Linked DNA regions of Neurospora crassa OR74A. The protein of the gene in region 1 interacts with the protein of each later gene in a biochemical or structural test. Links are inferred from orthologs where the notes say so. Each region holds a gene or a part of one and is shown in the gene's direction. Other genes may lie near its edges.

Region 1 (4,249 bases):
GGCTAAAGTCTGCTCGCTTTTTTGATCTGAGTGTTCCGCCCATGATTGTTTCACGGGCGACTTGTGTCGAGGGTGTCGATTTGCGTGGCCATGAGCCATACCAACTCCGAGATTTCTGGGGCTGCGAGTCTGTTAGCATCGGGTGTAACAGGCATTAAACAGGCTGGATATGGTGGCTGAAGAGAAATAGGCTACCTCTTTCAGCCCTCGCTTGCTCGAAATAGGAGTTGTATTTGCGGTCGCATTGGGCTGGGATGTTGATAGAGCATTATCAGGTGTCGAGGTCGTCGTCGACGAAGGTGGGTTCGAAGCGGTCGGCATTGGAACGGCTTTTGAACGCCATATAGAGGCTGCTAGGCTCGAGGACGATTTCGGCGGCATATCGGATGTGGACGTTGAGGACTCGGTGACAGCACTACCATCCGCCGGCTCGGTTGGAGGGTTTGGTTTCGCCTTTTTTCGACGACCCATGGTGAAGACCATGGCGAGCAAGGCCAACAACCTAACAGATTCCAGTCCCCTAAGATTATAGGGCAAACTTTGGCCACATTGCCGTTTATTTCGTCAAGTTGAAAGGATCGAAAATGGGCATGCGACGAGTATTGCGTGGCGCCTATACCGTAGGGACAAGTCGACAAGCCGACGAGGCACCGCTCAGGCTACAAATCCGATGTGTACTTCTACTTACACTACACGGGTACCGCCGGCGGGGAGGGAGCGCTTTCATCCATTATCAAAGGCTCCAGCTCGGATGCATGTACGTCATTTGCCAGGTAGCGCACAGTCCAGGGGAACCGGATAGGTAACGAAGTACCTACACTTTATTACCTGGAGAGGGGGACCATGTGAACGAATGCTGATGTTATTACAAGTACCTACTTGATGGTCTAGTGTAGTATCAAATTCATTCTTCCATCAGACTAGAATGATATTCCAATACCGTACGATCCTAACATCAGACGACATGTTAAGTGTAGGTAGGTACCTCTAGACAATTGTACATCCCGCCTTGGAGAATTATATGTACCTCGCAATGGCCAATAGGTAACTCATTGATAGCACGTTCTCAGCAATCCCCTCTATCTCTAGGGTGTAGGTACCTAACGGCCTTCAGTACCCTACCTCTACTTACCGTGTACTTCCCTGCAACGCATGCGGCTGGCCCGTTGGCTGCCCGTCTCCGCCCGTGCAAAAGGTTCGGTACGTACCTGGCCATGAACGTGACAGCGTCCTGTCAGCTGACGCCGTGGCACTCGTGGACACAAGACAGGCGCTGCTAGTACCCCTACAGGGGAACCCCGCAAGACTCAGAACCCGCAACGAACCGACATGCACGCGGCCCGCGTACCTAGAGATGGCAGAATCGTAGCCGATGCTCACCGCATTCCTTATCGTTATCTGGCCACGGTGAACGGCGACGGACCCACCAAAAATTTTCGGCAGCGGACAGTGGAAGCGGCCTGGGTCAGTTTTTGTCAGTGCTTGTCGATTCATTCTGAAGTGTGAAGGCGGGCAAAGGGACGAGGGATCCAGTGCGGGTATCTCTCCAATTGCAACTCCAAACACATCCGTCCATCCATCAGGTCCTTTCTTTATACCCATCAGTTCACAATGGGTGCGCAAAAGCGCAAGGAAGGCCCGGGCGGCGCCCCAGTCAACAAATCAACACAATCAGCCTCCGAATCGAGACCGTCAAAGAGACCAAAGTCCAACGATGCCGGCAGCAAGGCGGGCGCAAAGACGGGCAAGCAGGGCAACAAGCCGGCTCCCAAGTCCGACAAGCCTGCTCCTCCTGCTCCTACCGCCCCGGCTACATCTACGCTGCTCAAGGAAGAGGAGCCAATGTTCCCCAGAGGCGGCGCCAGCATCCTGACACCTCTCGAATACAAGCAAATCCAAGTCCAGGCCAAGAACGACGCCCTGTTCGAGGAGCAATCCAGCAAGGCCACCGCCAAGAAGGCTGGTGAGAAGGAGGGCAAGCAGAAGAAGTCCAAGAAGAGGTCAAAGTCCGACGACACACCCGCGAAGCCCGATGCGGACGCCGTCAAGGTTGAAAGTCTCAACTTCAAGGTATGCGCCGGAACACTCATGGGTTCAGTCCTATCATCCAAGTACTAACTGTCCGCAGCGTCTGGTAAAGGGCTCCTTGGTCCTTGGTTCCGTCTGCGCCATCAACTCTCTCGACATCGCCGTTGCTCTACCCAACAATATTATCGGCCATGTCCCCATCACTGCGATTTCCGCCCCCCTAACAAAACGCTTGGAGGCCAGCGCCGGTAACGACAATGCCGAAGAGTCAGAAGACGAGAACGACAACGACGTTGACCTCGAATCCCTCTTCCAGATCGGCCAGTATGTCCGCGCCTACGTTGTATCGACGGTCGACGAGGCTTCTACACACACCCCTGGAAAGGCCAAGCGCCATATCGAACTCTCCCTTCAACCTTCTCTCGCCAACACCGGTATGGCGGAGCAAGACGTTGTTGTGAACAGCACAGTTATGGCCGCCATTGCCAGTGTGGAGGACCACGGTTATGTTATGGACATCGAGATCGCCGATTCGAAGTTGCAAGGTTTCCTTGCTCGCAAGCAGGTCGACAAGAGCATCCCCCAGGAGGCTCTGCAGCCAGGTGCCGTCCTCCTCTGTATCGTCACCAAGAACGCCAAGGGCAAGGTCGTTCAGTTGTCCACATTGGGTGAAACCATGGGCAACGTCGAGAACGTCCCTTCGACTGCTACCACCATCGACACATTCCTCCCCGGTACTGCCGCCGACGTGCTCGTGTCCGAGGTTTCCAGCCACGGAATTGTTGGCAAGATTATGGGATCGCTGGATGTCACCGCTGATCTGGTTCACTCTGGCGCTGGTCCGGATGGCATCGATCTTGAAGACACATACAAGGTCGGCTCTCGTCTGAAGGCCAGAGTCATCTGCAACTTCCCTACTGCAAAGCACCCCAAGCTGGGTATCTCTGTACTAAAACACGTTACCTCGTTGAAGCCAAAGACTGCTTCCAAGGACGACCAACCAGTGGTGCCATTGCAGGCTCTCCCTCACTCGACGATCGTGGAGAAGTGCACCGTTAAGCAGGTCGAGCCTGAGATCGGTCTTTACGTCGATGTTGGTGTCGAGGGCGTGTCTGGGTTTGTGCACATCTCCCGCGTCAAGGATGGCAAGGTTGATGCCCTCTTCGAGAACAGCGGACCCTATAAGGTGGGATCTGTTCACGCTGGTAGGGTTGTCGGCTACAACGCCTTTGATGGCATGTATCTCATTTCCTTGGAGAAGAGTGTTCTTGAGCAGCCATTCCTTCGCATCGAGGACATTCCTGTCGGTGCAGTTGTTTCTGGTGTGGTTGAAAAGATGGTGGTCAACGCCGCCGGTGTTGGTGGCCTTATTGTCAAGATTGCTGACGGTATCTCTGGCTTGGTCCCCGAGATGCACTTCGCTGACGTTCACCTTCAGAACCCCGAGAAGAAGTTCAGGGAAGGCCTGAAGGTGAAGGCGCGTGTGCTCTCGACTGACGCTGCCTCTCGCCAGATCCGCCTTACTCTCAAGAAGACGCTCGTCAATTCCGATCTTCCTGCCATCCAATCGTATGAGCAAATTGCTGTTGGCCAACAGGCGCTCGGTACCATCATCAACGTCTTGCAGCACGGTGCGATTGTGCAGTTCTACGGCAGGCTCCGTGGTTTCTTGCCAGTTTCTGAGATGAGCGAGGCCTACATTCAGGATCCCAAGGAGCACTTCCGCGTTGGCCAGACTGTCAGCATCTACGTCATCAGCTTCGACCCCGATGCCGCCAAGCTTATTGTTTCTTGCAAGGACCCATCTGCCTTTGGTCTTGAGAAGCAGTTGGCCCTCAAGAAGCTTCAGATCGGTGATGTGGTGTCGGCTAAGGTCACGCAGAAAACTGACGACGATGTTTTTGTTGAGCTTGCCGATAGCTCTCTCAAGGCCATCCTCCCCGTCGCTCACTTGACGGACAAGTCGGTCAGCAAGACTCAGTCTGCCCTCAAGAAAATTCACGTCAACCAGACTCTTGCCGAGTTGGTGATCTTGGAAAAGAACGAGGCTCGCCGTTCCATCATTCTCTCCCAGAAGCCCAGCCTTGTCAAGGCTAGCAAGGAAGGCAAGTTCCTTACTACCCTTGATGGTGCTCGCGTCGGAGATGAGGTTTCTGGTTATATTCGCAACATCACTGCTACGGCTGTCTTCGTCCAGTTCGGTGGCAAGTTGACCGCCTTG
Region 2 (4,184 bases), on another chromosome or scaffold:
GGCAGCTAGCTATACTATTTGGAGGGTTTCTAGTACCCCTAACAGCTCTAATAAGGGGTATTAGGTACATTTGACACCCCTTATTAGCTCCCTCGAGGGGTCCCTGGCAATTGTAAATTTATATAGCGAGCCGGCTAACGGCTAGCACTTAGCAGCTAGTAGGTATACTATACTAAAATAATACATATAGTGAAATTCCTAGTATTTGTTAAGTATTTGCATTTATTAGGTCTAGCATTTACGAGGCACATTACTATAAATAGAAGTGTCCGGTGAGTGGGATTCATTAGTAAATCCAATATATACCCCACGGGCACTAAACTCCTAGTTGTAGGTCCTTCTACAAGTTAATACTAGTTTGTTTGTTAGTTTGGTTCTTTAGCTATACGTTGAATAGGAGAAATTGTTTAAAGCTTCTATTAGCCTTTAAAGAGAGAAAAGGGCCTCTGTTGGAAGCGTTATATAATAATAGCCAGGGTGGAAAATGCTATGGAAGCCTTCTTATACCCCTCTTTGTCTCATTTAGGACCTCCAAGACTGGAAGATATGAGAGAGTAGTCCCCTTTTAGTACCTGTCTGAATGAGGTTCAAACGTTTTTCCTACCCTCGACATTTGGTAGCTGGCTCTAGAGTAGAAATTGGCTTTTTTTTAGTACTAAACCTACAAACACACTAAAGTTAGATTGTACAATTCAATTCTAAATCAAATATTGAAAAAGTTTAATTGTACGGTCAATATTATCTATCCGTACGGTAATGAAAAATAGACTTTCATATTCTTTTTCTAACTTAATAGAGTTTAGTATTAACTTACCAAAATGCATTATATTTTTTCTGATCTTTTACTCTATCTAACACTCTTTTTGGAGTGACCAGACCTACCTAGTAGCCCTAGGAAACTCTCAAAGAAGATAGCTATTATAAATAAATAATTAATAAGATTTTAGATGAAAAAGGCTTAAGGGGTAGTTTTTCCATGATGCTTAGGGATATAGATTTGGTACCTACCTTAAAAAATTCCTCAAAAATGAACGAATAGTTTGGTGCCACTTTCAGTTTCATTAGTCTCCGTTTTACTAAGTTATACTTAATAAAGCAAAAGTAGACCACCGTACGGATAGACAATATTAACTGTACGATTAGACTTTCTCCAAATATTACCCAGCGTAGGACTTAACACTTTTAGCACTATTTCAGGCTTGCATCGCCAAACTCCACCGAATGAAACTTGATAAGAAAAAGTGTCAATCGAAGTACCGCGCCAATGATGAACCAGCCGAGGTTTGGAGAGTACTGCATAGTACATAGAGATTTGTCAGTGTACTGTGTACATCTGTACCTCCACTTGCTCCACTCTTCCTGCAAGACGCACGAGGGTCCGCTAGGTGCATGATCCAAGCATTTTTTTTTCCAACCCTTCCTCGTAGATGGTTTATTTTGCATCACCAACAGCCAACCTCGAGACACATTGTGCCGGCCCGCTGTCCATTGATTTCGGCAACGACGGATTTAGGAGATATGGGCTCATCCAAGTCACCGAGGCAAAGAAAGAGGAAAGGCATGGGGCCGGCTTTCGACGAAGCAGCAGCACTTGCTCAACTGACCGAAAAGATCGACCAAACTCTCGCTGGCGTCGGCACTGACCAACACGCGTCACCAAATCGCAAGAGACCGAACACCACAGCTGATGATCGAGATGCAAAGAGGCGCCAGAAATCTCTACTGGGCACTGAAGAAGGACAAGAGGACCGTTCCAGCAAAGACCAGTCCCACAATGCAACAAAGGAGGTTCTGCTGGAGGAAATTTTGGCCTTGGGCGGAGACGAGGATGATCTTGAGCTTGTCGCCAATGTTGATTCCGACAATGAAGAGGGACCTGGCATGAAATCTGCGTCGGCGCCCGAAAAATCCCTGGATAAGTCATTTCATGAGGAACTGACAAAGTTCGCCTTGAGCCTGGGCTTCCAGAACATACCCCGCGAGGATGACCTTGAAAGCGTGTCGTCTGAAAACCCCGTCGACGAGGAACAAGACGAAGAAGACGACGAAGAAGAGGACGACGACGCGGAACAAACAAAACAGGATGACAGCCAGGATCAGGAACAGCCTCTAGCCATTTCTGCCACAGTAAAAAGTGAGAGCACAACTACGACCGCCCAAGACACCCTGCGCGGGAAGAAAGGCAAGAACAAGCTGGTTAGTTCGACGCTCTCGCTGCCGCAGACTTACCTGGCGGTATGCTAACTTGAGTAGGGTTTTGAGCCCAGACCTGACTGGCATGCTCTCGACCTCGAGGGCCTACCTGCCTTCACACCATCTGCCGACGTTAGGCAATATTCTTCAGCGATTGCCAACCTCAAAGCTTACGCGGACGCTCTCTTGAAGGAGGACGCGGCAAGATACAACGCCCTCCAGGCCTCCAGCTCCACTCAGAAGTTCATGTCGACCATTATGTCTTCCGGCACCTTATCCGACAAGGTATCTGCCTTAACCTTGTCGATACAAGAGTCTCCTCTCCACAACCAGAAAGCCTTTGAAACCCTGATCGGGTTGGCCGGCAAGAAAAGCCGTAGTCAGGCACTCGCTGCCCTGGGCGCTCTAGTGGATCTGCTGGGCAATGGCACAGTTCTGCCAAGTAATCGCCGGCTTCGTCCGTTCAACATGCAACCCGCCTTGCTGGCCGCTTTACAAGATCAAGCTGTGCTGCATTGGGTTCAGGGCCAGAAGCTCCCAGCCAAGCTAACTGATTCTTACCTGATGATGTGGGCATACGAGGATTGGCTCAAAGCAGCGTATTTTCGCATTGTCCAGCTCCTCGAAATCTGGTCGACTGATCAGATTGAGCATTCGAGAATGCGCGCGCTGGAATTTGTTTTCACATTGCTCCGGGACAAGCCGGAACAAGAGGCCAATTTGTTGCGACTTCTTGTTAACAAACTCGGTGATCGCGAACGGAAAATTGCATCTCGGGCGTCATACCTCCTCTTGCAGTTGCTCAACATTCACCCTGCGATGAAAAGCATTGTCATCAGCACGGTAGAGCAAGAGGTTTTGCTCAAGCCAGGCCAAGGTCTGCGCACCAAATACTACGCCATCATCACCCTGAATCAAACCATCTTGAGCACCAAAGAGCCCGCTATAGCCAACACGCTACTCCGAATCTACTTCGAGGCTTTCCTTTCCCTCCTCAAAACTGGCTCATTGGGAAACCTGGAAGCGCTAAATTCCGAGGACAAATCTGGCGGCAGCAACAGGAAAGCTAAGAAGGGCAAGCGAAATCACACCGAGGCTTCTGCCAACGAGCAGGATACGACACAAAAACTCGTATCCGCACTGCTTACTGGTGTCAATCGTGCGGTACCCTTCACTACCGCCGACGATGAGACCATGGAAAAACATCTCGATACCTTGTTTCGCATCACGCACTCGTCGAACTTCAACACCAGCGTGCAAGCACTCATGCTCATTCAACAGCTCGCCGTGACCAAACATCTCGCTGTTGACCGATTTTATCGGACATTGTACGAATCATTATTGGATCCCAGACTCATCACGTCATCGAAGCAAGCATTGTACATGAATCTACTTTTTCGAGCCCTGAAGAATGATGCCGACGTGCGGAGAGTGAAGGCTTTTGTCAAGAGATTGGTTCAGGTGCTTAACCTGCATCAGCCGTCCTTCGCATGCGGGGTGCTATATCTGATTTCCGAGCTGGAGAACATGTTTCCTGACCTTCATTCGTTGCTTACTGTTCCCGAGGAGAATGAAGATGATGGCGTGGAGGCTTACAAGGATGTCAATGATGATGCGGCTCTGCAGCGCAGTCTCTTGCGTGAAGACGCACCAACTTCCCGTCGTGCCACAGGATATGATGGACGAAAGAGAAATCCCGAGCATAGCAATGCGCACAGAAGCTGCTTGTGGGAATTGGTAAGTGCCTATTTGAACTCTGATTGCATGTGAAACCAGTTTACTAACCTCAAAACCACCAGGCTCCTCTTCTATCTCATTTCCATCCATCCGTACACGTTTATGCCAGTAACCTTCTCGTCCGTCAAAAGGGCCTGCCGAAGCCGGATTTGGCCAACCACAGCCTCATGCATTTCCTGGACAAGTTTGTCTACCGCAACCCCAAGATTACCGAGACCAAGCGCGGAAGCTCAATCATGCAGCCGGTCCTCGCT
Region 3 (3,875 bases), about 500 kb from region 1:
TCGGGTCTCGCCGTTTCAGGAGCTCAATAGGTATATCCGGTGTGTTCTCGTCCCCATGCAACTTTGTTTCTTTCCCTTCAGCCCCTCCGGTTGAGCCGGGCCTCTCCGTCCCACAATAGTCCGTTGTATAACTCCAATCAAACGGCTTGACCACCTCGCTGATGCCCGCGCTCGTCTTCTCGCGGCTCGAGCTCCACTCGCCCGCGTACGCCACCTGCAGCATCTTTTCGCCCGTTTTGTCCACGCGCTCGAGCGCGTCCTCGGCATTGAACTCGATCGACCAGCCCGTTGGCCGGTGCGTGATCGAGACCAGGTTATCACCGAAGATCATCTCGGGAATTGGAATTCCTAGCCGCTCCGACATGGCGTCGATGGGACCTGATTTGAGGATGGGCAGCTTACGCGTAGCAACAACGAAGGCGCCTTGAACGTGCATTGTGGTGGCGGCTTCGAGGGCCGAAGGGGAGGGGTACGGCTCATTGAGCGATGATATGTGGTTGATTTTGACGGACGTCATGGTGGGCGTCGTCGTCCTCGTCGTCGTCGTCGGGTAAGGGATTCGGTCACTGTTGTGTACGGGCGAGGGCGTTTCGAGGTATTTGACGCCCAGTTGTTGCTGTGCTTGTGGAAATGTAAGAGGTCAGACCGTTATTTGAGGTCAAACGTCAAGCTTGGTACAATTCCCAGCAGCTGATGGTGCGAAGAAGGCCGATAGTTTTGCCATGTCCAGATAGTAAATGAAAACTGTCAGAGGCTCAGAGCAGCTTGGAGATCTAGCGGGGTTTAGCGGGGCCCTCCCCCCATCCAGCTCCGATGTTAGCGCGCACCTGCAGGGGCGGCAGGGCTTGATTCCGTTGCTTGGATGTCGGGTTAATCCCGTCGCTGCGACGACATCTGCCATCAAAGGTGCTTCTGCCAAATCTGAGAAAAACAAAAGATATCAGACAAATGAGATCCTCACAGTCATATTCATTGCCGTGTCAATTACCACCGAGTCAGGTCTCTCCCGGTTGTTAAGTCCAAGGGCGTGTCTCCTGTAATCCTCTGGACGCTGCTGAGCCCAGCCCACCTTCCCGCTGCACCTATCATTGCTGGTCTCAGTTGTTTGATCAGGGAGCCCAGGAGGGAAGGTTCGGCGCAGCCAGACAAGTGGAAGACAATGACTGTTGCTAGGCAACGGAACTGAGCCCCGGTAAATAAAGCCCCAATCCTGGCCCACCATCTGGGAAGTGTCGTTTCAACTCCAATCAGCATCAACTTCGCTGGCCTTGTGTAAAACCAACCTTGCTTGACAACCAACTTCAACCAATAAATACTGAAGTGGCCTGCGCTTTCAACACGACGCCCTAGGAATCGAGTGTATTGCTTTGCGCCCGCCCGCTAGTTTCCCATCATCTATGCAACATCCCACCTAGACTTCCTGGCGACTGTTTCTCATTCGCGATCCTAGAAATCGTCGTGCCCAAGATGGCGGGCCAACCAATGGAGTCACGCTTCGGGCGCATGTCGATACATGACGAAAACAACGATCCAAGCGATGGCGCTCGACTTCAGCAAAAGGCGAGAGAGCTCAAGTCAAAGGTATGATTTATACAACATTGTTTGCGTGATAGCCTCTCTGACTGATTTGCGCGATCGTAGGCAGGTCCCAGTCAAGTCCAACACACGAGCGCCCCCGGCAGGCCGAATCTCTTCAAAGTAGCCCTTCAATCGCAAAGCGGCAATACCGTAGTAAGCACCTCCGTTCCTTGTTCCTTCGCAGATCGCGCAAAGGAAGAATCCGCCCATCATCTCTAGCGAACCTCCCTCACCACGAAAACCACAGAGAACCGTTCCCGTTGCCACGAAATCTTCGACCATTGTTTCATCCGCCGCTCACAAGTCCACAACATACGCCGGCATTCGTAGAGTCGACGACGATGATCACGACGAACTCTCGCAGCCAATGGCCTCCGCTAGCGTGTCTTCGACAGGTACATCTACATCCGAGTCATCCTCTAGCGCCGGCTACGAACAGTCGATATCCCCTAAACAATTCCACCTTGGCATGTTTGAAATCGGTCGGCCGCTTGGCAAAGGCAAATTCGGCCGCGTATACCTCGCGCGGGAGCGCAGCTCTGGTTTCATCTGTGCCCTCAAGGTGCTCTACAAGTCGGAATTGCAACACGGCACTGGAGTCGAGAAGCAAGTGCGTCGCGAGATCGAAATTCAATCCAACCTACGACACCCCAATATCTTGAAGTTGTACGGACACTTCCATGACAGCAAGCGCATCTTTTTGATTCTCGAGTACGCCGGCAAGGGCGAGCTGTACAAGCACCTGCGCAAGGAAAACCGTTTCCCCGAATGGAAAGCAGCGCAGTATGTTGCGCAAATGGCATCCGCCCTCAAATACTTGCACCGCAAGCACGTCATCCACCGCGACATCAAACCGGAGAACATTCTAGTGGGCATTCACGGGGAAATCAAGATATCGGATTTCGGCTGGAGCGTGCACGCGCCCAACAACCGGAGGCAGACGCTCTGCGGAACCCTGGATTACCTGCCGCCAGAGATGATCCGGAGCGGATCCAAGGATAACTGGTACAATGAGAAAGTGGACTTGTGGAGCTTGGGCGTGTTGACGTATGAGTTTTTGGTCGGCGAGGCGCCGTTTGAGGATACGCCGATCATGACACAGAAGAGGATTGCGAGGGCGGATATGACCATTCCCGAGTGGGTCAGCAAGGAGGCAAAGGATCTGATCAAGAAGGTAAGAAGTCATTGTTTCCCATAAGGATGGTCTTTCAATGCTAACCCATTATCCAGTTGCTGGTACTCGACCCTGAGAAGCGTCTTCCTTTGGAGGAGGTGGAGAACCACCCTTGGATCTTGAAGCACTGCGTCAAGGGAGAAAGAGCTGCGAACCGGGAGAAAATGGCAAGTAAGATGGGCAACTGAGGGGTGTCTCTTGGCTTTGCTTTTACTTTGTCTGATATCCGTCGAACTTTCTTCGAGCACTGCGGAAGCGTGGAGCCTACTTGCATTGTTAGCTTGTTTTTCTTGTTTTTTTCTTGTTTTTTTTCTTCTTTTTTTTTTTCCTTTTTTTTCTTTTCCTTTCTTTTCTTGTTCATGTTGTAATACGGGCGTTCTTGGGCGTTTGAGCGAGAGGAAGAGGGCTAGGATCAGGATCCCCGTATTGTCAAGGGGAGGAGGCTTGTGAGTTCATTATCTGTGCATATACGTAACTACGTTCCGGCATTTAGCGAGCAATGGACTGGACATTGACTTTAGTTTATGTATCACATGTGTGACCAGTGTATATATCAGCGCCACAAGATCAGAGCTGGAATCTCAAGTTGAAGTGGTATCATTGATTGTACATGTCAAGAAACGTTCATCACAAAAACAGCAGGAGTACATGGTATAAAACGCCCTCTGCATCCGCGATACAGGCCCGAGATCACCTATAAATCTCCTCAAACGGCCTCTTGTCCGAAAAGCACGAGTCCCACACCTCGTTGACCACCTTTGTTGCATGTACATCGTCCTTGCACGTCGGTCGTGCCATAACCGACTGGATGGCTCGCATACGAACGCAGTTCTGAAATTGTTGGGTAAGCGTCCAATTGCCTCGGACAATAGACTCGCGTGTCCATCTGCACTCGCCGCTAAGCATTGATGCTCGGATCTGCTCAGAACATCCCAAAGATTAGCAACTGTCCTTCCAGCTCGAAACGAAACAGACGGAACAGGAAAAGGAGAGGGAACTCACCTCAGTGCAAGCAGCGTGCCTCAAACTCTTCTCCCCGAACCAATCCACCTTCCACCTCAGATGATCCCAAGCATGCACCATCTCATGCGCCAGCGTATCCTCCAAGTGTCCTCGGTTGCGC

The links. The genes of interacting proteins can lie anywhere in the genome.
Region 2: the proteins of NCU06272 (region 1) and NCU09894 form a complex in vitro, tested with the Saccharomyces cerevisiae proteins (2 studies listed by BioGRID). The link is inferred for Neurospora crassa OR74A from reciprocal best matches to the Saccharomyces cerevisiae genes RRP5 and MAK21.
Region 3: the proteins of NCU06272 (region 1) and stk-13 form a complex in vitro, tested with the Saccharomyces cerevisiae proteins (2 studies listed by BioGRID, with this or other methods). The link is inferred for Neurospora crassa OR74A from reciprocal best matches to the Saccharomyces cerevisiae genes RRP5 and IPL1.

What each region holds. Positions count from the first base shown.
Region 1 is NC_026503.1:2,145,358-2,149,606, forward strand, and holds the start of NCU06272 (mito ribosomal protein S16), read left to right. Parts: upstream 1-1,449; 5' UTR 1,450-1,611; coding exon 1,612-2,070; intron 2,071-2,128; coding exon 2,129-4,249. Other genes in the region: NCU06271 (hypothetical protein), read right to left, coding at 1-121, 196-483.
Region 2 is NC_026501.1:3,985,503-3,989,686, forward strand, and holds the start of NCU09894 (CCAAT-box-binding transcription factor), read left to right. Parts: upstream 1-1,384; 5' UTR 1,385-1,389; coding exon 1,390-2,196; intron 2,197-2,253; coding exon 2,254-3,930; intron 3,931-3,992; coding exon 3,993-4,184.
Region 3 is NC_026503.1:2,644,677-2,648,551, reverse strand, and holds stk-13 (serine/threonine-protein kinase), read left to right. Parts: upstream 1-1,172; 5' UTR 1,173-1,467; coding exon 1,468-1,581; intron 1,582-1,641; coding exon 1,642-1,731; intron 1,732-1,825; coding exon 1,826-2,752; intron 2,753-2,808; coding exon 2,809-2,940; 3' UTR 2,941-3,375; downstream 3,376-3,875. Other genes in the region: NCU00109 (TipA protein), read right to left, coding at 1-517; NCU00107 (mitochondrial inner membrane protease ATP-23), read right to left, coding at 3,443-3,670, 3,755-3,875. UniProt on the Saccharomyces cerevisiae protein: Component of the chromosomal passenger complex (CPC), a complex that acts as a key regulator of chromosome segregation and cytokinesis.